Notamacropus eugenii: one gene and its partner. The protein of the gene in region 1 purifies or fractionates together with the protein of each later gene. This does not show direct contact. Links are inferred from orthologs where the notes say so. Each region holds a gene or a part of one and is shown in the gene's direction. Other genes may lie near its edges. The genes, in order: EN1 and transducin-like enhancer protein 1.

Evidence for each region.
Region 2: the proteins of EN1 (region 1) and transducin-like enhancer protein 1 purify together in Homo sapiens (affinity purification with western blotting; 4 studies listed by BioGRID and IntAct, with this or other methods). This does not show direct contact. The link is inferred for Notamacropus eugenii from reciprocal best matches to the Homo sapiens genes EN1 and TLE1.

What each region holds. Positions count from the first base shown.
Region 1 is NC_092876.1:308,203,607-308,218,978, reverse strand, and holds the start of EN1 (homeobox protein engrailed-1), read left to right. Parts: upstream 1-9,424; 5' UTR 9,425-9,501; coding exon 9,502-10,456; intron 10,457-14,922; coding exon 14,923-15,239; 3' UTR 15,240-15,372. UniProt on the Homo sapiens protein: Required for proper formation of the apical ectodermal ridge and correct dorsal-ventral patterning in the limb.
Region 2 is NC_092872.1:72,088,222-72,104,120, reverse strand, and holds the start of transducin-like enhancer protein 1, read left to right. Parts: upstream 1-7,888; 5' UTR 7,889-8,214; coding exon 8,215-8,238; intron 8,239-9,334; coding exon 9,335-9,435; intron 9,436-10,903; coding exon 10,904-10,967; intron 10,968-11,079; coding exon 11,080-11,124; intron 11,125-15,899. UniProt on the Homo sapiens protein: Transcriptional corepressor that binds to a number of transcription factors. Inhibits NF-kappa-B-regulated gene expression. Inhibits the transcriptional activation mediated by FOXA2, and by CTNNB1 and TCF family members in Wnt signaling.

The sequences.
Region 1 (15,372 bases):
GTTATGGCAAGTCCGACTCCAAGGCTATTTCTCTCCTTATTAAGGGGTCGAATAACTTATTTAGTCAAAGTTCCTTTTCGATCTGTATCTCCAAAAACCATTCTGCATACAGAATTTAGTTTCTGGACCAACTGTAGTCTTGATTGGGCAGAAATCCCCAGGAAGGGACCCTTTGAATCCTCTCCAATTTGGTCAAACACAAATTCTAGCCTCAGCGAATCCTTACCCCGAAATTTCCACAAACACCTGAAAGCTCTATGAATTGACGACAGGTGGCGCTTTCCTCACGAAAATGGTCCCCCGGGTTCCAGGAAGCCTACTGAACCTCTAGCTGGGAGGGCAGCTGGTGTTTGTATGAGGAAGAGGGAGAAAGTGGGGTTGAAGACGAGAAGAACTCGAAATTGGGCTAGAAATAAAGCAGTCTGGGCCCTCCAAACTTAAGACAGAAATTGGCAACGCCATTTCTACCTCCTCCTTTAAAGGGAGAAAAATAAACAAATACCGCTGCTCATTACAGACTTGGAACCCTTTCTTTGGTTTATTTTTCCTGAGTTGTAGAAAGCTCAAACTTCATCTCTCAAAAGAGCTAATAAACATTATCGATAATGGGTAAGGGTAGGCCTCTCCAAGAACCCTAGAAATATAAATAATCAAAACCTATTAGGAGTTCACCTTTGGTGATTCTCTACCCACTCACCCGCAACACACACCCTAGATGGAAGAGCCAAGGTCAACGTAACCCAGAATTTTCATCTGCCTTTTCTGGCTTCTTCACCTATTCCACAGGACTACCACCCCACCCCCATAGCATCCTACATCTTCTATCTTAAAAATAATCTTTAATAATTTGGGGAGGAAAGAGAGGGGAGGGGAAAAAAACGCAGGAGAGGGGAGAGAGGGCGCTTTTTTCAATTGCTGCAATAATTGTCCGCGAGATGGGTTTCTTAATCTGTTCATACATTATTGACTTCTCCTCTAATATTTGGCTTTGCCGCTTTTATCGCCAGGAGATCACGTACTCGACTCCTTTGCATAACAATTTTGGAGAGGACATCCTCGGAGCTGGAGGGGACGTGACTGGAATGGAGTTGGGACCCCGCCGCCCCCACTCACCCCCACCTTCGGATCTTATTTCCCCTGACCGCCGCTGGGCAGCAGTCAAAGTGCGTCGTTTGAAAGAAGGAGCCTGAGCTTCCCCCAAGATTCAACTCAATCTCACTCTATTCCTCCAGCCCCCTCTTACACAGTGAGATATTCACACACAGTACTTTATGTACTGTGGGGAGAGGAGATAAGAGAAGTGACCCAACTGAGTTGAGCTGCAGGTGGTAACTGATCAGTCCCTGTCGGGGGAAGTTTGATGAGGACATAATGAGATCCGGATTCATAAAATAGGAGAGTTCCACCAGATGTGGACAGTATTTTTTTTAGGTTGCTTTGGAGGACGAGGCACCCATTGGAGCTTAAAATACCAATCCAGGTGAATCCCCAACTCCCCCCCCCCCCCCAAAAGGAGATCTCTATCCTTTAGGAGTTGGGAAAGAAAATCAGAGGGGCCTGTTTTCCTTTTGTAGATATTAATGTTACTCCACCTAGGCCCTAGTTGACTCGATGCTTCGTTGGTTAAATGGGGGTTTAATTGCCCCCCAAAAAGATTCACTGTAGAACAGAGGTCTTTTCTAGGAACTTAGAACTGATTTCCCGATGGAGAGATTGAAACTCGAATCTGGGTATGTTCTCCTAATGGACTTTCCTTCAAAAAAAAAAAAAAAAAGCTTTGCCAGTCTCCCGCAGAATACAATCCCACGCGCACAAGTTTACACACATACATACATACTCACACACATTGTCCTGATCAAGAATAAATTCAGTTGAAGCCTGCGAGAATCGTGCAGAATAGTGAATATCTTTTTGCCTTTAGCTCAGAATTTTGAAGTCACTTTCCCAAGCTGGTTCCCTTCGGATCCTTGACCTTGATGGGCTTGGAATTCAGGGGTCGGGAAGGGGATGGATGCAACTTCTAGGTCCTCAGGTTCTAAGGGTTGCCCACTGTCTATCTTCCCATAGCCTCAAGCTCTTCACTCCGTAAATGGACTTAATTCCCCTCCCCTCCCATATATTCCCCTAATTACCCCGACTCCCCTTGCGCTTTTGTTTTTCTTTTCCAGAAACAACTAACTTTGGAGTCGGATGTCCCCAAAGTTCTGTCGGGAGCGCTCTCTCACCAGAGAGTTCAAAACATCTATAGTTCCAGTGGCAGCTGCAGGTCTGTGATTTGGAGGGTGGGGGAAGTGATGAGTGTGACTTGAGCACAGTAAGAACGCAGGGAAGCTGGAATTGAGGAAGACTGGGATTTTGACCTTTAGTTGATGGGTACCAGTATCTTAGCCACTGGGCTAAGAAAGTGGCTGAAGTCCCAAAGAGCCAAGGCCAAAGTCCTTGACATGCCAGAAGGGTGTGTGTGTGTGTGTGTGTGTGTGTGTGTGTGTGTGTGTGTGTGTGTGTGTGTGTGTGTGTGTGTGTGTGTGTGTGTGTGCGCGCGCGCGCGTGCATGTTGTGTTTCGCCTTTCCTTTTCATTTTCAGTCCTTGACTGCTGTGTCCAGACCTGCGCTCTAGATCTCTGTCTAGGGAACAACCTCCTGGCGTGGAGTGGAGGTGGGACTGGGGAGAGGGTCCTTACTTAGGAGTTGAGGATGGGGAAACAGTCAATTTTAGAAGAAAGAAATTTTTAAAAGCGAGGAAATGTGGAACCCTGTTGGAGGTTTTTAGACAAACGACCGATATTTTTTTTCTTCTGCTTTTCTTTTTCTTCTCTGTTTGATCCCGGGCCGCTGGAGAATGGATTTAGCTGAACATAACAAGAGAGCCCAAGAGGCGGGGAAGGCCCCCTCCCCACGAACATGCACTCACGCATACACACACACACACACACACACACACACACACAAACACACACACTCGCACAGCTCGTGTGGACTACGCACCGCGACTATCCGGCGATCGAATCCAAAGCTGAGACTCGGACAGGTGGGGACACGGACAGGACACCGCTCCCAAGCGGGCTCTGTCTGAACGGCTCTGGAATGGGGTGGGAAAACCGAGTTTTCAGTTGTATTATGAGGTGGGAGGGGGGAGAGAAATAAAGGACAGAAGAAAATCAAACCAGAAGCTGAGTTTTAACTTTGGTTTTAGTTGAAGGAAAGCGGAATTATTTCGACTATCTCGGTCTTGGGTTTTGGACCCCTGGGGTTCGAGCTGAAGAGTGTGACAGTTCTAGGAGCAGGAAAAATAAATAAACTTATCAAGTCACATTTTTTATATATAAAGAGAACGATGGTTACCAGAAGCCCTTAATCCTGGTGTCTATCTCTGTGTTTATCTTTCTGAGACCAGAAAGAGACTTATTCGGGGGAAGAAATCGATAGAAAACGCCCCCTTTCCCCAAATCACAGCGAACCAAGTTTTTCCCGGTTCTCTGTATGAATCTTAAAATGTTTGCATTCGTTAGCCAAAACCTGGGAATGCAGAATTCCTGTCCATCTTAAACACATACACGAGACTTGGGGCAGGGAGGGTGGCCACATTGGAATGAGTGTAGATGTTAGGGGAGATCATGTCCTCTTTCGAATCTCTCTAATTTTAAAAGATGCTTTATTTTAGTGACATTATTTCTTCCCTTTCCAAAGTCTTTCAAAGGCCAGACCTATAAGGGTTTTTTGTATTCTCTTGGGAGTCTGGTTCTGTTCTTGGAAAGGGTGAAAAGGGACAATTATTTCAAACTGTATAGGTACGATCCACTTAGAACCACTTCACCCAAATGGACACGGGAAGGTACTTAGTACTTGGGGTGAAGATGGGAAGTTGGGAAAAATGGGAGAGAAGAGTGGGGAAAAAATCCAACTAAGTTTTAATTACCAAAAAAAAAAAAAAAAGAAACCTCCACCCAATTTATTTAATGGTAGGATATTTCTTTGTAAACTAGTATCCAACTTTCCACGAATATGCACACACGTGTGTACGTTTTACACACACACAAACTTATGGAAATATATTTCATCAAAGCGGACTATGGTCAGCTTACCACAAACAAATCCACCATCACAATTTCTGGGACTAAGGAGGCGTTTTGTTTCCAGGGATCTTTCTCTTTTCTCCATTCTTTTTCTTCTCCTTTCTCTAGACTCACCCCAGCTCGAAGTTTCCAGCAGAACTCCTTCCGGTACCTATTACCAAACGAATCCCCCACCCCCATTATTGCTTTCAAATGAAGACTGAATCCCCAAGCGATAATTGAATTAGTCTATTGAAAGGACTGTCAGGTACAATGACGTGGTTCGAGCCCGCACATTTCCCAAGGTCTATAGGCTTTGGGGACCTGAGATGTATAGTCTGACCTTACAGCTCATAATAATACTGCTGCACTTGTAGTAGAAATCTACTCGCATTCACTTCCAACAAAACCGCTGGTCACCCAGTCCCCGTAGGAAGACTGGAATCTATTGTGTTAGAACAACTCATTTATGTCCTGCACCATAAGGCCCCAATGTGATCTGATCTAGACTCGAAATAGGATTACCACCGTGTATATTAAACACATGGATATACTTCCTATCACACACAGAGAAAGACTGTCGATTTTTTTTTTTACAAATTATTCTTCTCCCCATCTTCAAAAGGAGAAGAAACAAAGTATATACAATCTTGACATTAATTTCTGCCTTAACTAAAAATAAAAATAAAACTATGGTTAAAACGGACACCCTACTTAAAGGAAAGACTGTCAGGAATGCACTCTTACAGCCACACACAAACACACAGGGACACAGACAAACAGACATAACAACACACGCATACTTCTAACAGAAGTCTAAGTAAACCGTGTCCTATATGCGATGGGTGTTGGGCAGAGTGAGGAAGAGAAGAGGAATGGACCTTGCAGATTGTTTTCCTTCAATTCTGAATATCTCCAGGACCCTCTTCACCCCTGGGGCCTTAACTCCCCCAAACTCTTAGCAACATTATCTCCTTGCCCCCCCCCCCCCCACGTTAGTGTTCTCAACCTATATGCACTTACTCCATGTCAATTCCCCAAATTCCTTCATTCAATTCCTACCTTACTTTGGTAAGGGGAATGGTACACTATGACATAATAAAAGACACCTTCCCCCTTAGATGGAAATGGAGGATGGTCTTAGGGGAGACCAAAACCACATGGTTTTGCCAGGGAGAAAGTGAAATATCTACCTTACTTTGGTAAGGTAGGAAGAGAAACAGGTCAGGGATCAGACAAATAGCAACCACAGTGACTTTAAGTCTGTGTCACAGAAGCAACCCTTTTTCCTTAAAAGATGGCAATGGGAAGGGGGAATGGTACACTATGACATAATAAAAGACACCTTCCCCCTTTAGATGGAAATGGAGGATGGTCTTAGGGGAGACCAAAACCACATGGTTTTGCCAGGGAGAAAGTGAAATATCTCTCTTGAGCCCAACGGGAAAGGTTGAATCTATGACCACCTGGTTTATAACTGTCCTTCCCTTCTATCATTCCTCCCTTGTTTTCTGGGGTGGATGGGAGAAAGGGAAGCTGTTGGGAGAGGGGACACAATAGCACCTACAAACTTATCGACTCTTCTAAGATTCAGGCCCCGGGAGGCAGGAGTAGATAGAATAGAAAGTGCTCAGGAGGAAAGAAGCATCTATCTATCTTCCCCCTACCCCCTCCCTCGCACACACACTCAGTGCCACCACCTTTCTCCACCCCTCCCTAGGATCCCCAAATCCGGATTTTCTCTAGAGAGAAAGAGAATTCACATCTCCCGAAAAGAAGGAAATTTCCCTCTACCAAACGTAGGCAAATGGGCCCCCTAAGGAGGGCATCTCTTTACGAGAGAGCACTCTCACCCCCTTCAGGTAATTTCCAATTTTATTTTAATGCACCAGAGTTGAGCCAGAGAAGGAGTTCAGCTTGGAGATAGCAGGGAGGCAGGGCGGAGGTCATGAAATGCAGAGGTGAGCTGGCCGAGCGACAGTCCCGCGCTGGGGCCGCGGCTTTGGGGGCTGGGAGCGCGCATTGTGCTCCACATTGCAGTCGGAGCTATAGGGCCGGCGGTGCATTTATCATCCCATTACTGTAACAAATCCGGGCTCCACTACATGAAAGGTAAAATGAATTACCGACGTTAAGCCGTCAATAAAGTCATTTCTGTAAATGGTGTCTCCAAAGGGCCGCCGCATTATTCAGCTGGCTTTATCAGCAGCCTGGAAATTACGTGGAGGAGTCGGGCCGCGTGGAGCGCGGGCCCCGCTCACTTTGATTAAGCGTCTTGCCAGCGCAATGTGACAGAGCTTTTGACCAGGTTTTTATTCACAGTCCTGTGATGAACGCCAAGCTGATCAGGCGGAATGAAGAGTAATTAAAACCTATAAATTATCTTCCGCAGCCCTTCTCGAGGCGTCTCCTGCAGGCGAGATAACGCGTCGAGACCCTATTTACGGCGCTGAAAGGGACCGCGCTGCACAAAAGCTACGTGGCTAAATAGGATATTGATAGTGTCCTAATTAGAATTTAATTAAGTACCCACGCTCGCTTGCGGGATAAAGATTTCAATTTTGCTAACTTAAATATAAATAAAATCCCACCCCCCATTTTGGTGCCTCTATGTCTGAGGGGGTTGAGGGAGGCACACTGGGGGAGAATGCCCCAATATTTTGTTAGATAGGGAAGCAGAGGGACCCCCCCCCCAAAGGTGAGTGGCGGTGTAATTTGAGAGGCCGGAGTCAGAGGGTAGAAGTCCTTCCGAAGTACAAGGGTCCGAAGTATTCCCTCCTTTTTTCCTCATTCTTTCTCCAGCTCCCAACACCCCGACATCTTTCTCCTTTATTCCAAGGGCCACAGTGATGCCGGCGCCTCCAAAGGGATCCATAGATTAATTGTGAAAATAGGAACAGAAATCAGAATCCCTGAGCTGGGGCTAGCTCGCCTCAGTTACCTCAGTTGTGCCTTGTCTAGACTTGGCATCCTTTTTCATTTTTCCCCCTTCCCAAGTCTTCGTCCCCCAGTTCAGTTTTCAAAAAAAAAAAAAAAAAAATCTAGGCAAAGACTCCGTGTGTGTGTGTGTGTGTGTGTGTGTGTGTGTGTGTGTGTGTGTGTGTGTGTGTGTGTATTCCTGAAGTGACTGTTGCCTGGACCAGGCCTCCAGGAGAAGATGGAGATGAAAGGGGAGAATTGATCAGAATCTTCACCACCCCACCCCAGGGTCTCCAAATAACCTCTTTTCTTCCCTCTCTTCTCCTAAGGGGAAGAGGTAGAAGAAGACAGGCTAGGATTCCAAACCCCTTTCACGAGAAACAATACTCCGATTCTCCGTCTCTCAGGGAAAGGGCTGAGGCAAAAGAGGTAGAATATTACGAGGTGTCCATATGCAGGGAGTGAACCCCCCAAACAGTTCTGCTCTCAAGGAAATGTTAGTAAATTGAGGGACGGAGCTCAGTCTGCTGAACCATCGTCAGAGGTAAACAACTCTATAAACCTTGATCAGACAGAATTCTAAGGGTTTCAGAACATAGTGGATATGATTGGATAATGAACTGGTGCTGGTTGTGGTGCTTAATTTTAGAAGAATTGAAGGAGAATAATTATTCTGTGCCAAAAAAGGGGGAGGGAGAGAGCAAGTATTCGAAATCAGTCCTTTTCTTAAAAAAAAAAATAGCAGAAAATAATTATCAACAAGATTGGCTTTTAGCCAGTGTCCCTATGGTTCAAAGATCTTCCCCCACACCCCCGTCTTCCAACCGAGAGCTTCCCGTTCCCATTCCGTGGTATAAGCGTCTGGAGATTTCCAGGCAAGCAACTTCTTTTCTCCTTGGAGTTGCTGCTGCCGGGCCAGTAGGCTAACTGCAGAGCGGCCAGCTACTACCGATGTTCTTTAGGAGGGTTAACTGTCAAACCCGCTTCTTGTCTTATGCGGGCAAGAAACGTATACTGGGATCTCTGCTATATGCTCAAGTACTTCCAAGTTGAATTTCTTGCACCCCAGTACCTGTGCTGTCTGGCCACGAGTTAACTCGAAAGAGCTAGGAAAAGGAAAAACAGCAAGAAGACTGAGGGATTCTTATCAGACTCAGAAACGGTGCGACAACGTACTGCCTAAACTCGTCCTGCTAGCTTGCTCCAGATAGTTTCCTTGATACAATTAAGAAAAAGGGAAAAAAAATCGATCTCTAAATCCGTATTAAATTAAACCCCTGCTTGATAACATCGGAGAGCAAGTTTCATATCTTTATCATATCACCTTCATAACCACCATTATCATCATCATCACTCATGCTCACTCCAGTCAAATGACACCTTCTCAATTTCCATAGCCGAAAGTAAAAGGGTGAGTTTCTTAGAAGGAGAGGGGAAGGGAGAAAAGTCTTTTCCCCTCGGACCCTGCTTGGCCTGCTGAATATGGACCCTTAAGCCTATCCTGTATGACTTGAAAAAGTTTTTTTTTAAGGAGTTAATTTCATATTTGCCTACATCCCAAATGACATACCCCCCCCCCCCCCCTACACACACACATATACACTTGAGGGGCAGGGAAAAGTTGGAAGCCGGACGTAGGAAGAACGGGAACTTTTGAGAGGGGGTGGTACTGGTGAAGAGTGGGGTGGAGGAATTGCCGAGTGGAGAATGGACGCGACAGGCTGCCCGGCGACTCCCCCTCTCCCCGCTCCAACCCCAAGGATTATTTATCCGCAAAGTTCCAAGCCGACTCATTGGTCTGCGTCACGGGTGTCAGCGAGAGTCGCGGTTCGCTATTGGCCTTTCACACGTGCGGCCCAGACTCACGTGCTTCCGGTTTGAATGCAAAAAGTGTGCCTGGGTGATTTTTTTTTTTAAGAGAGAGAGTTTGTGCAAAGATCGGAGCTGTCAGAGATTTGAAAAAAAAAAAAAAGAAAAGAAAAAAAAAGCCCAGGCGCGGTGGTGGAGACACTCTCTCCCTGCAAAAAAAGCAAAGGCGATTAAAGGCGCTGCCAACCTCGAGCTGTGGGCAAAGCTGAGCATGACACTTGGGGAAGTCAAACCCCTCACTATTGCTTAGGAAGATGGCTAGATTTTAAGGACTCGATTTTTTTTTCCCTTTAAGAAAAAATATTTTATTTGGGGGAGCTCCTCCTGGTGTGGCTTTCCTTCCTAAAAAACAACAACAACAACAAAAACTGAATCTGGTTGCAAAAAGAAATAGCGAAGTGTCTTCATTTCTGGATATCTGCAAATTAGAGAGGAAAACAGATCTGCTCGGTAAAAGAGAGACTGGAGACAAGCGTCTGATCTTTTTCCCCCCCTCTTCTTTTTCTTCTCCTTTTCCCTCTGCTCCCCTTTTTTCTCCTTCTTCTCCTTCCTCTCCTTCTTTCCTCCCCGCACCCCCACCGGCCACTGGCAAAGTGGGGTGGAGAGCGAAGCGGGGGGGAGGGGGAAGGAAGCCGCGTCCGGGGCGGCGGGGCGGCTGAGTATGGAAGAGCAGCAGCCGGAGCTTAACAGTCAGCGCGACTCCACCACAGGCACTGCGAGCCACAGCAGCAGCAGCGGCAGCAGCAGCGGCGGCAGCAGCAGCGGCAGCAGCAGCAGTAGCAGTAGCAGCAGCAGCGGCGGCAGCAGCAGCGGCAGCGATGGAGACAGCGTGCCGGTGTCCCCGCAGCAAGCTCCCTCCTCTCCTGCAGCGCCCTGCCTCCAGCCCCTACCCCACCACCATCACCATCACCACCACCACCACCACCACCATCACCACCAGCCCCCGCCGCCTCCCCAGCCCATGCCAGCGCCTCCTCACCAGCCGCCCCCGCCGCCGCCGCCGCCCCAGCAGCACCGCACCACCAACTTTTTCATAGACAACATCCTGAGGCCAGACTTTGGTTGCAAGAAGGAGCAGCAGCAGCTGCAGCAGCAGCAGATCTTGGTTGGAGCTGGAGGAGGAGGAGGTGGCGGTAGTGCTGCTGCTGGTACTGGTGCTGGTGGAGGAGGAGGAGGAGGAGGAGGCCGAACAGAGCGAGACAGAGGCCAGACAGCGGCTGGGAGAGACCCGGCCAATTCTCTGGGAACGCGGCCGGCCAACCCGGCTTCACTTCTCTGCCCGGCAGATGCGAACTGTGTGACGCCCGACGGCTCTGCGTCGGCCCCGGCCGCCGCCGCCTCCAAAGCTAACCCAGCGGCCGCGGCTGCTGCTGCTGCCGCCGCGGCCGCGGCCGTGGCGGCGGCGGCAGCTGCTGCAGCCGCTGCTTCCAAACCTTCGGAAGGCGGCGGGGGGAGTCCTGGAGCAACTGGCGCTAAATACGGGGAACACGCGAACCCGGCTATTCTACTCATGGGCTCTGCCAACGGCGGGCCAGTGGTTAAAACTGATTCGCAGCAGCCGCTAGTATGGCCCGCTTGGGTCTACTGTACGCGTTATTCAGATCGCCCATCTTCTGGTGAGTACACCCTTTGAAGTGAGTCCTCACTCCCCTCTCCCTCTAGGGTCACTGGTGGACACTCCCCATCCCAACCCCCGCCAAGAGTTCTTAAGAACAGAAATAATAATGCATTTTCCTTCCCCCGTCCCTCCCAACCTATCCTATTCCTATGTCTGTTCCTCTTGCTTCCACTTTTCGCATATTTTATTTGTTGCCCCTTTTCTACGATATCTTCATCTTTAGCCCAGCCTGAAGTTCTGAACAGTTGGGGTTGGCACCGAGGAAGATTCACTATTGAATTCCTAACACTTTAAAGTATTTAATAATAATTTCTTTTTTTCCCTTTCTTTTTTCTGGATTTGACTAAGCACTTGTGTTTGATAAAGATGGGAAGGCCTAGGCTAGAAAGTTCGATTTTTATATGGACAAGATTATAGAATGTGCAATCGAATTTATATACACTAGCAGTATTCTGCAATACTGATGAGAGAGAGAGAGAGAGAGAGAGAGAGAGAGAGAGAGAGAGAGAGAGAGAGAGAGAGAGAGAGAGAGAGAGAAGACAGATTTTTTCCTTGGGTACGGGGAAGGAGGGAAGGAGAGGCCCTGTCGTGGGGCAAAGAAACAAGGGGATTTTGTAGAATAATGTCAGAAAGGAATCACAAGGATCCCCTGGTCTGATAGGAGAAAATAGCGTTAAGATAGTCCAGGAGATGAATCTTAGCTTTTAGATGAAGGAGATGGGGAGGGACAATCTATAGGACAGTGAGAAGATCCTAAGAAAGAGAAGCTTGAGCAGGCCGGAAAGGCCAGCTTCTGAGACTGCCTACTTGCACTGTTGTTTGCCTGTGAAACTCGGCTCTCAAAGCCTTCTGTTCCCGTTAGCCCTCTTTCCTTTTATCTCAGTCAAGGCACAACATCTAACACTCGCGATTGTTTTGAGGTGTTTTTTCCCCCTCCTACACTCCTTTTTTTCTTGCTTGGTATCACAGGGACCTTAGCGTGCTTTCCATTGGTGGGTCTCCCATTTCACTGGGTTGCTCCTAGGTTATTTCCTCAGTGTCGGACATTGGGTCTCTCAACCCTTAGCCTCCTAGTTCCCTTTCAGACTTAGTGGGAAGAGAAGAAGGAATCCAGATCTGCTGGGTTCTCAAATCCCATTCCAGTCAAGCCCAGCCTGGGCTGAGGAAAGAGGCAGAGTTGAGAGTCAGAGACTATTTCTTCGGGTCGGAGCTCAGAACTCTATGAAGGTATCCGGGAGTCTCCCAAATCCCCATTTCCGTTTTCTTCTCCCTTCCCTTCTTTCTTCAGTTCTGTTCCGAATTACTTGGGCTGCAGAGCCAATCGATAGGCCGCTATCAGCCCCAGCCATCTCGATCCCCCCGTTATTGACACGTCCGTCTCCCTGAACCTCTGAAAAGCCGCTTTGATTGACTCGCCTGATGGATAGAGTGATTGAGCTGTCAGGTCGGCTGCTAGGGCTAGCCAGGGAGAAACGATTTTATTGCCTGTGCTCAGTGTGTCCATACACATGCACCAACATAAACTCAGCCTCAGACACAGAAAGCGTTCTAGGCCTCTCTGGCTATGATCGTCCCCTCTCCCTTCACAGTACCAAAAGAAATAAATTAATCATTTTCTCCATCCTCATTTGGGATTCTTCTACCTTGTCTGGGTCAGCATCTTTGCCCTTGGTAGTGGGAGTTTTAGAGCTAGAGTCCCAGTTGTATTCCCTGCAACTTTCTGGATCCTAGGATTATCCTAGAGAGAATGGAGACTTTTGGTTTGTAGTGGTAAGTGGACTTTAGGAGTCTGGTCTCCACTGGAAGAAAAAAAAATCTATTTGCAATCACCTAGAAAGCTTTTCAAACAGGAAGGTTGAACTCCAGGATCCCATCGAAGAGGTTCCAGCCTAACCTAGAACTCTGATATTGTGATACTGTATCCTCTTTCTCTGGGATGAGGAGAGTGGATTATTTTAGAGGAAGATCTCAGACTTGTCCCCAGGACAAGGAATGGCCTGGCTGCCAGGCCCCAGATTCCCTAGGCTCTGACTGTAACCTACAAAAGCTAATGGTGTTTCTTCTTGAGGTTCATTGTGGGGTTCAGACCCCTACTCCATCTACCAGTTGGAGACTAGAGTGTTTTCAAAGCTTCCTTGTTTATATTCCCTTCTGGCAGAATCCAAGCTATGTGGCCTGTTTCTCTTGAAGGTGGCACTCTCACTGGAGTACTCCTCCAAGGCTTTAGGGTTTTTATAAATAGCAAGGCTTTGGTTAGCTAGCTTCTTGGAAAGGCCAGGAGACTTCAACTTCGACTGTTTATCCCTTCTCAAAATCTCCATTTCTAACTTTTCCATCCTCTGTTGCAAATACCCTAGAGAAACAAATATCAGTAAAACTAGGATGAGGATGTAGGTGTACTGAAGCATGGATCAGGTAGAAGGATAGGCCAACTGACAGCTGTGCGTTCTCAAAATCTCTATCTGTCTGTCTCTGTAGCTCGGTAGTTGTCTGTCCTTATCTCTATCCTAATTCCCTGTCTTCTACCGACTGGTAGAGGATCAGCGGAACCTCCGTGTATGAAGAATCCTTGGGCTTGCAGAATATAGCAGCTGGGTCCATGGGGTCTGTGGGTTCTGGCTGCTGTATGCCTATACTCTTGGCCTCTGGATGAAGCCTTGAATTATTTGTAAAAGCTCTCCCCCTCCCCCATTGCCCCTCTCTCATTTGTGTTTTGATCCAGAAATATCATCCAGGGAAGAAAATGTCCAGGGAAAGTGTTATCTTGAAAATGGCAAGAGGGGCTAAAAATTCTGATTCCAATTCCGATTTCCTCGTGTTTCCTTTTTAATTTTCGTTTCGTTACATTTTGTTTCATTTTGTTGGTTGATTTCTTTTTACAATTCATGAAATAAGTAGTAGAGGCCTTAAAAACATAAAAATACCCAAAGTCAATGAATTTCGAAATTGCTAGGAGATGGCCCCTAGCACAGTCACGGAGACCTCTTGTCTGAATAGAGGCAGGTATCCCTTTCCAGAAAGTGAACACTGAAGAGGTGGTGATTTGGGAAGAGAAAGCAATAGGGTTACAGTTTTGGAGCGCTTGCAAAGGTTCACTGTTGACCATGCTGAGTTATCGGTTCCCCTCTAACCTTAGCCGGGACCATGGCTCTTGCAACTGTTCTGGGTGTAAAGTGTGCTTGCAGTCTATTTCCCAAAGCCCATGGCTCTGGCCTCACTTCAGTTGGCGTTGTAGAAACTTGTCTGTAACAGAAGGCATGGAACTTCCTCGCTTTCCGCGGCGGGGTCTGGCATTCCCCAGGGTCTCACAGAAAATAACGGAAAGGAAGGGGGCCTGGGGCACTTGAGCCCAACCGGGCCGGGGTTAGAGCGAAGCTTGTGGCAAATAGAAAAACGGCTAAGGACGGGGGCCAGGCTAAAGCCGTCTATTTCTTGGTCCTTCTCAGGAGACCTTGACCCCGCGGGCTTAATTTTCTCGATCTCTTTGCTTTTCTTCTGATGCGGGTGAGGGTGGGGGCGGAGGAGGTTTCTCTGGATTGGGAGGCCAGAGGTGGGGGAAGGGGTGGCAAGAGCGATGCTGTCTTGGTAAAGAACAGTAGGTATTGGTTTGAAGTCGTTTCTACTAGTATTTATTTTCTCAGTCTCGGTGGAACCGGGATATTGAGATATTGGAAGTTAAAGGAGTGGTCGTGAAGTGGGGGATAAGGGGGACACACAAAGTGATTCGGCTGGGGTTCCAGTTGGGGTGTCAGCTCCTCCTCTTCCAGCTGCCCTGTCCCCTTCCTCATTGTCATGATGGGAATGACTGGTCCCAGCCTGCAGAGTCTGCTTCCATAGGCAGATTTGGGGTTTTCCGTGGGGGAAAGAAGGGAGCAGAAGGAAAGAAAGCTGGGCGGGGGCCCAGATTTCTTTTCTAGCAGTTCCTTTCTTCCTGACATTATCTGCTGTTTCTCTGGTCCCTTGGTTTCCGGGGCCTGGCTAGTTAGAATCTTATTCTCAGGTGAATGCCTTTGGCTCTCCCCTCTCCCCCCATTCTTTTAACTGGTAGTGCTAGCAAGTGGGGGAAATCCTACAAGCTTTCTCTTCCCCTCCTTCGGTCTATATTAGATTGTGGGGGTCCTGCAGCTGTCGGCCATTTTTTTTCCTTTCTCACTCTTTACTCCCCATCAGAAGGAAGATAAGAGTTGGTAATAAGGGACAATTGGTTTGGCCCAGGAAAAATTGCTTCTTGAATGGGGGGGTGGGGTTGGGATACTATGGAGGGAGGGGGACTGCGAAAACAGAAGAGGTTTTAGTAGCCAAGAACTATGATGCACCCCCTTTCACTGATACAATTCACACAGCTGCCTTTCCACCTTCCTCTTTCTCTCCCCCTCCCCCATTTTCTTCCCTCTTTCCCCGTTTCTCTCTGTCCTCTCCCTCCCCTTTGCCTTCCCCTCCCTGGCCTGTCTCCCTCCCATGTAGGTCCCCGCACCAGGAAGCTGAAGAAGAAGAAGAACGAGAAGGAAGACAAGCGGCCACGGACTGCTTTCACCGCAGAGCAGCTGCAGAGACTCAAGGCGGAGTTCCAGGCGAACCGCTACATCACCGAGCAACGCCGGCAGACCCTGGCCCAGGAGCTCAGCCTCAACGAGTCCCAGATCAAAATTTGGTTCCAGAACAAACGAGCTAAGATCAAGAAGGCCACAGGCATTAAGAACGGCCTGGCTCTGCACCTCATGGCCCAGGGACTTTACAACCATTCCACGACCACGGTACAGGACAAAGAGGAGAGCGAGTAGTCACTTCCCCCTTCTCCTCCACCCCCACCCCCTGCTTCACGCTGGCTCCTGACACCCTCCCATACCCACTCTCTCCCCGTTCCCCTCCTCTGGTTCAAACGATTTTTTTTTCCAGGGAAGAAATAATAAACAA
Region 2 (15,899 bases), on another chromosome or scaffold:
TCCATTTCCTTCTCCAGCTCATTTTACAGAGGAGGAAACTGAGGCAAACAGGGTTAAGTGACTTGGCCAGGGTCACAAGCTAGTAAGTGTCTAAGGTCATATTTGAATTCAGGAAGATAAGCCTTCCAGACTCCAGGCCTCAATTCACTTCAGCACTTCCCTGCCCACTAAAAATGGACTATATGAATGCTAGCTATTATTAAGGTAGCGAACAAAGAGAAGTAATTCAATGCAAGAATACTTGGTTATATCAGTAAGGACTTGAAAAAAACCAAGTTGAGAGTTATTTCTTTTAAATCTTTTTTGGTTTAAAACATTATTAGTCAGTTTTTTAACTAGGTGAATCTAATATATAAATTAAACGGGAGGTGAAAGCCACAGGCCCTAAAACTTTGAGATCTTTGACACCACTCCCAACTTATATCTCTTACTGTTCCTCGGGTCGTCAGGTACATGAGGCAGTGGTATGATGTGCAAGTTCTGGAGTCAAAAGTCCTGTTCCATGCCAACACCTGCCATTTAACGATCTTAGACAAATCATTTAGTCTCTATAGGTCTCAGTCTCCTTATCTGTAAAATGACAGGGTCAGACTAGACAGTTTAAATATTTGCAACTCACTGAATATGAATTTTTTGTGGGTAAGTTCAACCAAAGTTTTGTCTGGTCCCAGAAATGATCAACCATGCATTTTGCATTGAAAGTTTAATGAGAATGTAAGCAAGAACTCTTTACACTTAACAGAAAACAGGCATATCTGTTCAAGGGTGGTTAAATAAAATATTGTTGATCTTCTGGGTAGGAGGCTCATTACATGGAATTCTATGGGCCAAGATCTGCACTAACTTTGGACATATGTAGGCCTAAATTCTCCAGAACGAATGTCAAATGCCTTTCTCTTCTTTTCTTTACTCTGTCTTTCGCTTTTCAGTTTTTGTTGAACTAAATGCTAAACTGGAGAGGGTGGCAGTGGTGATGGTGATAAGAGTGTAGGGGGAAGGAGGACACTGTAGTTAATATCATCAATCTTTGGAATGGGTTTAGAAAAGGTACCTAACTTCAGTGAATCCTACTATTAATGGGCTGTGCAAATGGCATTTTTTTTCCTACAAAGCCCAAATACTGTCCTTGGCTGTCAAGGACATCGCACTTGTAGATGTGGAGAGCCCTGGTAGAAGTGCACTCTGCTTGAACTATTTCAAGAAGACTAATCATGTCTCTGTTCTGTTTGTGTGAAAAATCTTAAATTAATCAGAATATATTAACACTTACAAGTTACTCAGCCATGTGGATAATATGTAAATACGTTTATATTGTTCATATATAGACACATTAAGATGCTGTGATGGTATTTATATCTGTGTGTCTATGCTTATTGCTTATATATACATATTCCTTCTGTTATGATTTATATTTTAAAATATATCAAAAATTTCTCTCAAAGAAGGCCAAAGGATGGTATTCTGAGGCAGTGGTGGTGGTCTTTATTTTATGTTGTTGCCATGGTCAAGTATCTCCTGAAAAGAGATGCCTGGACCTTGAAAATCTTATCAAATAGGAGCCTAGCAGCCTAAAAACTGTCTTTGACTAAAGGGTAAATGGATAATTTCTGGCAAGTTTATTCATCTTTTAAACTGTAAACAAAAGGGTGAGTTGTGAAAACAAACACTTCGTTTTTTCAGAGGCTCTTTCTTCTCAGCTGAATTTCTTTTCTTTCCTCTCACACCTTTTCCCATCCTTAAGTCTTCCTTCCTCCTAAGCTTTGTCTCTTGTACCCAGTACAAGTACTGAAGTTGCAAAGGAGATATTTTTAATTATAAGTACTACAGTAATGAATTCAAGTGTACTCATTTATCATAAAAGGCTTCCCCATCTGCCTCTAAAGTATGCTTTAAAATGTTGTGTATTTGATAACATTAACACTGAGAATTTTCCATCCGTTAGTGCTAAGCATTTCAGATGCTATTTTTTTTTAAGAGCATGGAGGTAGTTTCAGGCAGAAACAGTACATTTATCTGTGTATGTGAGTGCGTGTGGTCTCTTTTCCTAATTTATTTGCACTTCAACCCATTGGGATCAAACTGCAATCCCTGTAGGCAAAGGGAGATTAGGGAGAGGGGTCTCACTTCTCCCTCCTCTTCCTCTAACACACACACACTCACACACACTCACACACACACACACAGTCACACCCCCAGAAGAGAAAGCAACTTCTCAAGTACCACAAGTTCTTCTGGCCACTGTACAAATTGTTCCTGAGCGTGGAGGTTTTCCAAAAGACCTAATTAGCAACTCACAGCAAACATTTCTTTGCATTAGCTAATGATCCGGCTACACTTGTAAGCAAACAGTACCAACATATCTAATCAATGCTGAAAAACCAACCAAATGCCTATTAAACATCTGGATGTAATTTTCTAGTTAAAATAAAATGAAAACATGTGCAGGTTTCTTTGATCTATGCCTTAAAAAAGAAATTGTTGATAAAAAACAATACTGACCAGTCAATGTGTCATTTTCATAAAGTCTACTCGTTTCTCTTCAAATGCTCCCAATTTAATTTTGTTGGTTTCCTGCAATCTCTAATTTTACCATATTGTGAGAAACCACAAGAGATTCTTTGGATCTGATTTTATTTGAGGTTTTACTGCTGCATGGATCTGCTACTGATTTTTTTCAACTTTTCAGTCTTTTTTTCCCCTCTTTTTCTGTCTCTTTTAGTAAAGGAGCATGGTGAGCAAAAGGTTATAAAGTAGTGCTGAGAAAAGTCCTTCTGGAGCCCCTCTGACAGGGTTAGGCTCAAAGAAAAATTCCTAGCTAAAAAAAATTAAATGATGAATAATGAAAGCGGTAACTATTAACTAGAAAGTAGAGAGGACAATGAAAATGGCTTTTTTAAAAAGCCTGACCCCATTATTATTTGTTTCATAAAAAAAGAGGTAATCGTTTTAAGAAGATACATAATTTTTTTGGATTCTATGATTAGCTACCTCAATTAACTTTTTTTTCTCATTGCTCTGCAATGCAGAACAGTGGAATAAATCACAGGAAAAGATTTTCTCCTATTAAGGAAACAATACTATCTAGTATCTGTAACATCTAGTATTCATTTGGACATGTAGTGGAAATACTTGTGTTATTAGTAGGTTGAAGATTTGATAATCAACATGTCAATGGAAAAAAATGTACATGCGCATCTATGGTAAAATGAACAGTACCACAATCCTTTGTTTCCTTTTCTGGAAAAAAAAAAAAGGTACTCTTCGTCAGAAGCTCAGTATTACATGGAAACTGCATTTAATATTTTTATCCATATATTCATACATGAATGTGAAGGTTAAAAAAATTATGTTTAACAGACTTCAAATAGAAGAGTAGAAATTATGAATTTGATAAGTAGGCACTTTCTATTTTTCTTTTAAATAATACTGTAGGCAATCTGCACATATATTATTTATTTAAAACATAAGATTAAAGCTGCTTGATTGTTTAAACACCATCATTTGTAATGCAGTTTGATGAGAGTTTTGCAGTATAATTATTACAGTCTGACAATCAAGGAGAAAATATGACCTTGAAAAGGGGCAGAGCCTTCTATATCTTGCAGGGATGCTGTTCTGAGAAAAAGAAGAAACTGGTGAAAAGTAGCCATCATTAGGGCACATAATTAGAGACTTTCAATTGTAAAAGATAATTTTCCAGAGATAACACAGGAAAAATCTGTAAGTCCTGGTGTCTCAATTGCCATAGGTCAGGAAGACCTTTGTCATTAAAGAAACTTAGAGTTTTCTCCAATATACACAGGAAAACCTAGTGATTAAAAACATTTTAAGTTCATAAAAAATTACAGAACATTATTATGGGGTGGGGTGGAGTAGGGAGAATGGAGGGAAGAGGAGGAATAGAGGGGAAGCAACACTGTTTTTGTTCCTGTTCCAAAATACACTGTTTTAATTTGTCTGTTTATATCTAATTACCAGCTTGTGCCAGCAGGTTAAAATTCACACCAGCCAAAGCTGGGTAAGCAGGTGTGTTGCTGTCTCCCTCACTAGGTATCCTCGTATATGCATGCATATCTATGATATGTTCACATGTTCTGCATAAAAGTGAACAAAATCCTATGAATGCAGAAGAAAAATTGTTCTAGGTAAACATAATGGGATATCATTTGAATATTGTCCATCAAACCAAAGTGGATCTTTGATACAATCACCAGATGTTGCCCTCATGTAAACATCTACATGTCCATAATACACTTAGAGGTATATGTATATGCATATAGGTCTGTATACATATAGTTGCATTTGAAATGTATTTGTCAAGGAGGGGAGGAAGGCTGAATTTATGTGATGACATAATCTGACAAAAATAGGAAGCACTTCCAGCGACTTTATTTTCCATGTAAACAAGACAAATAGCAATGTTTGTGATTATTCATGAGTGAAAATTCCACTTATTTAGTAGACTGCAGAGATAAAATTCTGAATGTTTAAGAATTTACTATAGCCTTCAAATATACAGCCTAAAAATGTTTGTTTTTCATTTATAATTGAAGTTTGAGGCTTGATACAATCATGAAAAAATCAATCTTATAAATGTTTTAAAACTGCAACAGTGAAAGATGTTGCATAAAATGATCCTTTAAATATTTTAAGAAGAATGATCTTTGTAAATGCAAGAATCTTTAAATAAAGTGCATCTGTTTAAATAGCAAATGCTTAAAAAAGACTTGAGTCTTTAAGAGTTTTTAAAGAAGACAATTGGGATAAAGTAGTCATTAATACTAAAAGACTCATTAACTAAATTCCAACATAAGATTCATATTTGTCAAAGAAGTACATTTCCAATTGAAGAATATGTTACCATTTGACAAAGATAACATTCACACATGGGGCATGTGGAAAGACTATAATTTAAACAAAACTGAAAACTCTTTGCAAAATTAAAGCCTTTAAAGTTTGTATGCATACATTTGCGCTGACAGAACTGAAAACTACCAATGCATTCTATTTATACAAAGACCTTTGAGTTGATCTATGAATTCCAACTATGTCACTTACCCAACACTCCCCAATTCATCACCTGAAATATTTCAGTGCTCTTTTACCATAAAAACTATCTGGGGGAAAAACAGGTTTGCCAGTACACAGGGGATGTCAGTACACACTATTTCTTCCTCTCTTTTCAGCTTTTGGAAAGATTATGGTGGTAACTGGGGTGTAAGACTCTTAAGAGTCTGCGGTTGATTCACAACATAGGCTGGTTACAATTTGCAAAACAGGGTTTGAGTTCATCCTAAGCAAGTAGCAGGACTTTTCTGCCGACATGTGTGATTTGTGTCATTAGTGCTTTTTCTAGCCTTGTGTTAAATAAAACCACTGTGGTTTTTAAAAAGTGCTTTGAGATCCTAAAAAATAAAATGCTACGCAATTTCAACGTGGATGTTATACGTAAAAATGCCTAGGAATGCCTTCCACTCTGCCTTTTCAAGTGCATGTGCTACCCTTTCGTGTCCGTGAAAAGGTAACTGTTGCTAAAAACAAACCTGAAAGACATTTTGAAAGTGACCTGGCTTTCAAAGTAACAGTATCAAACGAGTGGTTTCCATGAGGGGGAAAAATGTGCTCTTCTTGAACTACCCTCCATTCCCAATCATAACGAATGGTTTGCCTCACTGGGGTACTACTGTCACAGATATCTGGAGGTTTTTTTAAGTGAAAAAAAGAAAACGATATTATTTTTAAAGCCACACACTCTTATCGACACCGCTCCTCGCCCCCTCTCCCTTTTCTCCCCAGAACGCGCCCGCGCGCTCACTCTCCCCCACGTTACTTTGATTGACAGGTCGGTACTGCCGCTCTCCTTCCCACCGACCTTCCCATCCTCCGTGCCAATCTCAGCGTTTCCCCGCTTCCTATTGGCTGGCCTGGGCGTCCCGCAGCTCCTCCAGGAACGCTTCCTCGCGGAGCCGGGGAGGACGAGGCTGGGCGGAGGGGGCGGGAGGAGAGACAGGGGAGACAGTGCTGATGGAAGAGAGGAGAGGAGGGAGAATGGTGAAGTGGGGGGAGGGGGGGAAAGGCCGAGGCTGGTACTGCGCTGCTATAGGACGTTGGGAGGCGTGTCGTCAGGATCCCACGTTGGGGCTTGGAACGGACGATTGGTTGGGCCGGGACTCCCCTCCTCCCCTTCTCCTCCCACCCTCATCCACACGGACTCCATCCTCGGCTCCTCGCCCCCCTTCCCCGCTCCCCGCCCGCGCCAGGGTGGGCGGGGCCGGCCGCTGGTTAGCTAGAGGAGTGTGAAACCGCGTGTTAATGTTACCAGCGCGAGAGGCGCAGGCGGCGGCGGCGGCGGCGGCGGCGGCTTGAGCAGGAGCCGGAGCTGGAGCAGCACCGCCGGATACATTGTGTCCCGCTTCTTGAGAGGCGGCTGCTTGCTACCCGCTCGGTGCCGCTGCTTTGGCGGGCAGTGGCAGCGGCGTCACCGGACCCTTGGCCGGCTGACCACACCGATTCACCTCGGCCCGGCCCCCTGGTCACTCTGTGACTCTCGATAGCCCTGTGGAGTTTGCCTGATTGCAAAAAAAAAGAAAAAAAAAAGGCAGAGAAGATCATCAGAGCGAGCGAGCTAGCGAACGGGCTTGCTCCGTGGAGTCTTCCCAATCGTACCTCGGTTTATGGATGTTTTCCCCGGGATTCCCGGGGAACTTTACTTGTGGCTGGAGCGTCGATTGTTAAAAGGGAAACACAAAAAGGGCGGGGGGTGCCAGGGGGGAAAAGGAAAAGAAAAAAACCCATAAAGGATTAGCAGCGGCAGAAGGCAGCAGGGCTGCGGGGCCGTGCGGGTGTCTATGAATGTGGAGATGCTGCGGCGGCGGCGGCGGTTGCTGCATGGGTGTGTGTGAGTCGCTCCCCGATGTGCTCCAGGCGCGAGGAGGCGGCGGCGGCGGCGGCAGCAGCTGGGAGGCTGCTGCACCCGGGAGGGCTGCACCCTTCTGAGTAACTGAGAATTGCCCCAGCTGGTTCGCCTTTTCTGCTACTAGGATTTCTGTGCAACGGCCAAGAAGACTGTTGCCTCTGTCTACTACTGCCACCCACCACCTCGTCCCCTTGCTTCGGCTTGTTTTAGTTGGGATTTTTTTTTCAGTCTCCACTCCAAGACTGCTTGAGTGCATATGCTGCGTGGCCACCCCCTCCTCTCTTGCGCTCTGTGTCTCTGCACTTTCCTTGCATCATTACCCTTCTCTCTGTGGTTGCTGGTGATCACTTGGCTCGGAGCCTCCACCCCGGGCTCTGTGTGTGCGTTGTGCGTGTGTGTGTGACCCCACCTCCTCCCGGGAGCGCCTTTGAGGCTAGCCGGCCCGAGTACGGATGGGTACGTTTATATGTGAGTGATCCTCGGCTCCCCTTTGCACCCACCGACCCCTGTCTGGGCGGCGTGGGGTGACAATTCCTTACAGATTCGCCTCCTGGCTGCCCTCCCTGGATATCGTCTTTAACTCAAGAAGTCACCCGGCTTGCTCAGGGGTTTCCGGTCCCCTGATTGTTAGTTTGTTTTTGTTGGGGGGTGGGGCGGCGTTCTTTTGCCACCTGCAAGTTGGCCCCCCACGGAGCAAGGACGGGTGGGGGGGAAAGACTGGATTGATTTGCCCTGGACCTGCGCAGCTCGCGCATCTGAGGGGAGTGGTTGGTGGTGGGGGAGTTAACCTTGGTCCCGGCTTTGGCCGTCGGGGAGGAAGACCTGTGCGTCCACCCTCTCTCTCCCACCTCAGCGCCGGAACTGGGGGATTCCATTGTCCACCTCGGGTCCGTTTCCTTCTTCCCGAAGCCTAGAAACTCTCCTCTTCCCTCCCCCACTCCCCGAGGCCGGGCGGGAGACGTTGGCCCCAGTGGGAGGTGGGGGCGGTGAGCAGGAAGAGAGGGAAATGTGGCCCTGAGCTCGGGGCCCGGCCTTGGGAGCCCAAGTGGCCCAACTCCGGCTCCGGTCCTGCCTGGCTGTTGTGCGTGCGTGTCCGTATGTGCGTGTAATGTCAGTGTCTGTGCGCGCGCGCTTGTGTGTGCATGTCTAACGCGCACCCCCCCACCCCCCACCCCACCTCCTCTCGCTTGGATCTTCTTTCTTCCTTCCTGTCTTAATATTTCTCGGCGGGATTAAAGTTGGAAATTGAGCGGAGAATTGAGCTGCCCAGGAGCAAGGCAGCGGCTGCCGTCAGAGCGATGTTCCCGCAAAGCCGGCACCCGGTAAGGAGCGGCGGGGCCCGGGGGCCCTGGGCGTGTGCTTGTGGAGGGTGCATGTTGGGGGGGGGGGGGAAGTAGCCGAAGGTTTGGAGGCTGGGGGAGGCGCTGTTCTGGGGTTGTGCCCTGCCTTTGCCCCACCTTCCCCCCGCGGGGTTCGAGGCTGCTTAGGTTGCCTTCTCGGAGTTGCTGGCCCTGTTTTCCGCTTTGGGTGCGGGGGTGGGGTAAGAGTGGTGGAAGATGCCGTATGGGTTTTGTTTTGTGGTGGGTTTTTTTCTTTGACAAATAGAGTGGAGGCAGAAATCCTCTGGCTTTTTTCCCTCTTGGCCACCTTCCCCTCCCTCCCCCCACTTTTAATTCCCTTTTTAGCACCTCTAAAGGCGGCAGGCACATAGGCTAGCGGGGCAGAGGGACGGGGACAGAGAAGCTTCTTACATTTCTTCTCCCCATCCCTTCTGTTCCCACCTAAGGGAGGAAGGTCTTTAGCTCTCTCTTCCCCCCCCCCAACCTCCAGTAGCTGCCCCCCCCTCAGGTCCCCCTTTGTTCACTATCTTATTTCCATGTCAATTGCAGCCCTGGATCTAGTGGGGCCAGGGCTGGCCCGAGTCCTCTTAGGGGACTCTGGGAACTGGGAGGATGGGGCTGGGGTGTCTGTTACTCCGCTAACCTCCCTAGGGCTATTATCTTTATTGCCTATAGGAGGGGCGGGCACCCATCTTTAACGCCACCTTCGCAGGCCCTTTAGGAGCAGGGTGCTACTTCGACCTGAATTACAGGGGCATCCCCCATCTGTGTCCCCAGGAGTGGGACGGGGAGGGGCAGGGGTAGATTTCCTACCTCGCTTCTACAGGCTCTGGGAGTTTCGGCAAACGGGGTGGGGGCAGGGAGCGAGCGTTGCCGTCTGCCTCCCCTAAAGTAAACTGAAAAAACAAATTAGTTTCTTTTTGTACCTGTGATAGCTGGTAACTTTTGTTTGGGTTTTGTCTCACCTCTCTCTCTCTCTCTCTCCCTCCATCCTCTCCCCTCTCTGCCCTACATTACCTCCCCCCCACTTTCTCTTATTCCTGCACATCTATGCACACCCATCCCACACCTCCTCCAGACGCCGCACCAGGCTGCAGGTCAGCCCTTTAAATTCACCATCCCGGAGTCCCTGGATCGGATCAAAGAGGAGTTTCAGTTCCTGCAGGCTCAGTATCACAGGTGCGTGCAGTGGGAGCATTCAGTCCTGAGCCGACCCTGGCTGGCCCTGCCCTGGGGTTTGGATGTCAGCGTGGAACGTCTTGGGCTTGGTGGGGGTTGGGGGCTCTGGTTTTCTGTTTCTCCCTGTCTTATCCCTGGGGTGGCAGCTGTATTTAGTACTTGTGTCCAGGCGGTGGCGTGTGGAATCACAGTTAAAACCTGTCATTCACTTTCCCCCTCTTTTTTTCCCCTTCCTTGGCTTTTCTCAGTCCTCCTCTTTTTTTTCCCCTCCTCCTATTGTTTTGGCGTCCTGTTTGCTGCTGTTCAAATGAACTTTTTTTGTGTGTTTTGGAGTTAACATGAGAACCGTCAATATTTGCCCTTCATGTATTTATTTTGCAACAGGCTGAGCTGAAAACACTGGCTCAATCAATGTCTTAGTCTTGGAATGCAGGGGACAAATGCAGTGTTGAAATAACTATTTGGTTATGTTGGGGGATAGAGTTGTACAAAGCAAAGTTCATGGTGGAAAGATTACTCCTTTTAAACCTTTAGAGTTGTTGGGCCATTTACATTGAGGTTGACTTTGGAGATCCCCAAAAATAAATAGAATTTCAAGTTCCCAATCTCAGAGCCCCATTGAACTGAGGCTTCTGCATATGAAGTTCATCATAGCACTTGAGTACAAGTGTAGACTTACTGTCCAAATCAGTGGGAATTTTAAACAGTGGAAGAAACACTGATATTGTGGCTTGCTCCTTAGCTTAAAAGCCAACTTCTAACCGAGGCATTAGCTTTTATTCTTTAGAGATAAATGCCATCACGGTTTAAGTTAGTTTCAGCAGAAAGCAGAGGCAACTTATAAATTACCATTTTAATAGGGAATGTGAGTGGATTCTTTATTGTTTTCAGGAATGTCCAATATTCTGTTTAAGGCATGTATTTTCTTATCACACACTTCCAAGGCTATACCTATGTCATTGGTTATCTGATGTGATGTTTTAGTGTGTTTTAAAGACTAGGGTAAAACTAGTTGACTGTTAGGGAATAGTAATTTTTCCATTACAATTTTAAAAACTTAGAGGGATGTTTGAATCCACTGAGTCAAAACACTCAATATATGTTGTTTGAAGTTCAAGTTTCTGTTCAGAGGGTTATCCCACACCACGAACCTAATAAAAATTTAACTAGCCATGAGTTAACAGATGATAAGACTACTGGTTAGTTTGAGGACCTGACTTATTTTTTTACCCCGTACCTGGGATTTTATATACCCTAAGAATGAATCATAATGGAATGAACTGCACATAGAATTCATTTTACTTGTATTCTCTATTAAATACAAGGACAAAGCTTTTGGGTGTTTACTTTGATAGTTTATAGTTTTTCTAAATTGGTCTGTGTTTTTACTTGAAGTGCAAATATGTGAGGCAGATGTTAAAACAAGTGACATAATGTTTACATGAAGTTGCCTGTTTTGTTTTTGTAGCCTTAAATTGGAATGTGAGAAATTGGCGAGTGAAAAGACAGAAATGCAGAGGCATTATGTGATGGTAGGTATCAAAGATTTATTTTATTCCTTTTCACATACCATAACAAATATATTTTTTTAGTAGTACTAAATATGAGTTAATGAAACTTTTCTTTCCCTTTTTTTCTTCACAGTATTATGAAATGTCATATGGGTTAAACATTGAAATGCATAAACAGGTAAGATTTTAAAGTAAATTCCAAATTGAGACCTTGAATCAGTTTATGGCTGTAAATCTGGCATTGCTTTTGGGTAACAGGTGATTTAAAGCCATTTGTAGGTCTCAGTTGCCCAATTTATCATAGAATCACAGACTTACAGTTAGAATAGCATTTTAGAAATCATCCAGTTGGCAACCTCATTTTACAGATAAGGAAACTGAGACCCAGAAATGCTTTGCCCAAAGTTCACATTTGAATCCACTTCTAAGATGATCTCCACATCCAGCATTCTTTCTTCTGTACCACACTTTGTTCTGATAATTACTTGGTAGAAGTTCTGCAGCTCGTTATATTTGCAGAAAAATTTAAATTACTAGATAAAAGGGATATGAAAATATAAGTTCTGTTTACAGGAAGATAAAAATTGACTGTACTTTAATGCGTGGATAGGCTTATGCTTACCATTTGAATGTTATAGGTATATAGATACCTTGTCATTTATATGTTACAGGTATATAAATCTGAACTCATATACATAGTGTTGAGTCATAGGACTAAGAGTCAGTGTGGCAGAGTGGATAGAAAGGTCAGTACATGGGTTCAGATTTGGCCTCAGATACCTACTGGATCTGAGTGTAAGTCATTAGATTTGTGCATCTGTAAATAAGGAATATAGCTATAGTCCTTGCCTCCCAGGATTGTTAAAGATTATATTATTTAAAGCTCTTTGCAAACCTAAAAGCACTAAACAGATGTCAATTGACGTAATAATATTATAGCGTCTAGAGCCTGAGGGAACCTTAGATCATTTATTATATTTTTTTTAGGAGAGAGAATGAAGGGCCATGGGGCAGGGCAGTGACTTGTTCAGAATCACACAGGTGGCAAACAACACATCAAGGCTTTGAAGTCGTACTTTTTGACTCCAAATTCAGTGGTTTTCCTACTACAACTTGTAGATATGGTTGAGTAAATTGTGTAAAAAGAGCTGCTTTTCTTTCATTAATATGGAAAAGGCATATAAAGAACTATGTAGCAAACACTGGTTTTCTTTTGTAGTTTTGTGGCAATGCATAATGATACCAGTTCAGTGGTTTGTAGGTAAACATAACTTTAAAAATAATTTGGTAGATGGCGTCTTGAATCTGGGAGGAAAAAAAATTCTTTTATGAGAGTAGCATATGTTGATAGTAGCTGAGTTTCCTAGTGGTTTTAAAAGCCTGGAAAGATTAGTGACTGGGAAAGCTCTGGTTATGACTATGAGTTTGCAAGTTCCCATAAAATTCACACTTATGGCTACTATAATGGTGAATAAAACGAGTATTGAACTGGAACAAGGCACTAAGGACCTCATAAGAGAAGAAAAGCTAAATGATTGCTGAGCCCAAAGGACCCTCGATTGAGTAGTCATTGTCTGCCAAAGAAAGCATTAATGGCAGGGTGTAAGTATTCGCTAGATATGCTGACGTTCACTTTTTCATCAGGAGGCTGGTACAATAAGTCTTTCAGAAATCGATTGCCTCTTAAAAAAAATTATCATTAGATGAAGTTGCACAGTTGGACACATTTCAAAGTGCAACAATACAATTCTTGCTTGATGTATATGTGCTATCTCATCTAAAACTCTTGTTTCATTAAATTAAAGAGCGTGGCTGACCGACTAGGGCACAGGGGCGAAATTGATTAGTTCAGGCTTCAGATCTTCACTGTATTCACAGACTTTCATTAAGCAAGTGTGTTTCAGAGCTGAATTCTGCTTTTGTAACTGAACCCTTTGATTCTTTTTAATTCGTCGCAGATTTTGATAATGCTGAGGTATTGTTTTGGAAATCCTGTTTTCAGCTATGTTTGGGAGGAGACATTATAATTTTCTTTACTTAGACTATGATTGTATTTTTAAGTAATTTTCATTACAGCTTTTTTCAAAGTAAACTTTGTTTTTAACGTGTTCAGGGTTATTTGGGCTTTTTATTGTTATAAATAACTACTCCCTTATCCAAAGGGATTGTAAACTTGGTGATCATACAGGTCAGAAGGAGTCCTGGTTAAGTTTGGGGGTCTTTTGGGTGGGGTAGCATATGAGAATTCACAAACTTCTGCCACAGAGTTCTAACAGCTTGCCAACTTAATTTTTTAATGGCATTAAAAGACCAGATTTCTATACTGTAAGGAATGGGTAATAAAAGGTTGAGTTTTACTTTGAACTCATGAAATCAGAGGAATTAATAACTCATAGTGCTCCTGGAGCTCCTGTTTTCCAAAAACGTAAGGTCTCTATGCTCATGGGTAGATTTATTGGAGAATTTAAAGAATAGGTAGTAGTATTATTTTTGTAAACCATGCTTAATTGCATGACCTTTCCTTTTTCCTTAAAAGAGAAAGGAGATAAAAGTGTCAGAAGCATGTGTGTGGTAGGGATAAGAAATGTGTTTGGAAGTAGAGATCTGTCCCTGTGCATGTGTTTCATGGGCAATTAATTATGTGTGACAACATGTGTGAATATTTTGTCTACATATGGGCATATATTATTTGGTGTATTTGTTGTAACTAGTTCAGTGATTTGAAGAATGTGAAAGGTGGGTATGCTCTATATTTTTTAAATAGCAAAAGTCTTAAATCCTTTTAAATTCAGTTTGTATTGTAAATGATGACAGACCCTCCACTACAGTGGTGCAGGGTTGGGCTCTGCTATGATTCAATGTTAAAGTGGCCTTACATTTAAAAAAAAAAAACCACCCTTCTGAATGTCACACATTAATAAGAAGTTCTGAGGAGGCATTGGGTAGCTAGTAATCATAATTCTTATTAAAACCGGTGACGTCTAGCCCCTAGGGTGTAGCCAGGCTCAAATTGATGCTTTTTTGCTGCCTGATCACCAGCGTGGCCTAAGTGCTCATTATGTTGTAGAGAGGCCTTTGGAGCTCTCATTACGTTTGACAGGAATTCTCTCTAGGGGGAAACTGGGCATTAGCTAGACTCCTGACAGGCTGAAATTATTCCCGCTTTATGGCTTATAACCAAATGCTAGCAAGGCATCATCAGGGGACACAAAAAATTGTCATTTCTGACAACATCTTTGTTCCTGAAAAATGCAGTGATGGGGAAACTTTCCACAGAGCAGGCTTTAATGTTCTTAAGGCTTGTTTCCTGTGTGAGAGACTGCTTCTCTTCCCCTGTTGCTTCTCCCCACCCCCTCCCCCTTTCAGTGGGTTTGTTGAATTTTGTATTCTCATGTGTCGTCATACCTCCACATCTCTGGCAGTTTTTAAATGGAACTGTCATCCAAATCAAAAATGGTCTAATTGTGGTTTGCCTACTTGGAGAGACTTGGTTTGTTGTATATATTCTATGTTAATCATGTTCTAACACTTTCTCCCCTCTTTACTTATTAGTTTTTAATTGATTTCAATAAATTCATAAAGCCTGAATTGCTTTGCATTCTGACTCTTTTGATATTAAAAAAAGTATTTCATGCCATATTTCTGTTATAAGCATAAGGAAGAGCTCTCAACATGAAATGAGAATGAGCTAAAATGGAAACTACTGTTGTTTCTCACAGTTGGTACTTATAGAGGTGTGTGAGCTTTGGGTTTCTTCATCTGTAAAATGGGGCTGATTCTTATTACCTGAAGGACTTGTTAAGGCTCAAATGGCTGACTACTTTCCAGGTGCTTTGTATACTTGAAAGTACTCTAAAGATATGTCTCTTGTCTTTGGTATGTATGCAGTGAGTTCAAGTGACAAGTTAGAGCTGAGTAGCTCCTTCTGTACTTTTGTGATTTGTGTATCTGTATTCAAAGGGTCTTGGTGGCACACTTGGGCAAAAATCCATGTGAAAAATGACGGAATTCTGTCTTTTTACGACTCTGAGGCTATTGACTTATTCATCTCATTATGGCGAAGGGTTTTTAAGTCCTTTTTTCCAACATTAATGATAGAATACATACACATCAAAGGTATCTCTGGAGGTGACCTTAGGTGACTTAGCTCAAATCCCTTTTTTCAGAGGTTAAAATTGAGGTCTGCAAAGGATAAGGTACTCCCCCAAGGTCACCAAGTTAGTAAGAGTTGGGAGGTGAACTCTAGGCTCCCAGTGTTGTCCCCATACACACACACTGCCTCTTTTCCTCCGTTGTATTCCCATTTTGAGTCAATATTGGGCAGACACTGGTGAGGGCAGACCTGAGTGAGGGTATTATGGAATAAGACATCGTCCTGCAGGTGCCTCAGTACATGACCTTGGTTTTGTGAGCACAGTGTCGTAACCTAAAATTTAGCATCATGAGAGTCATGAACAGAAAGGACCTAAGTCTGAAGGTCTGCCGACCACGTGACCTTCCAGTGACACTGAGCTTTTCTCTTGGCAGTTCTATTTTTATTTGCAAAAAAACAGAATAATATTTGTTCCTGTCGGAATGTTGGCTATATATAATAGGTACATGTGTATATGTACATACATATAATATACATATATACATATATTAACATGTGGATGGGCTGGGGAGATTGTAGAGAGGGGTCTCTGGTGTCTTGGACCCCTTTTATAGTCTGATGAAACCTTTGGACCCATTCTCAAAATATTAAAAATTAATAAATATTGAAGGAACTGTTTAATTTTGTTTAGAGGTTAGATGTAGAAGATAATATTTTTTCCACATCCAAGTTCACAGACCCTGAAATCTATCTGCTCCCCCCCTTAAGAATCCCTGGTGTAGTGTGTTGGTGTGAAGCCCTGCAGAGGAAGTGTTATATGTTCCATAAATCAGCTTTTTGGGTGATGGGGACAGTGAGGT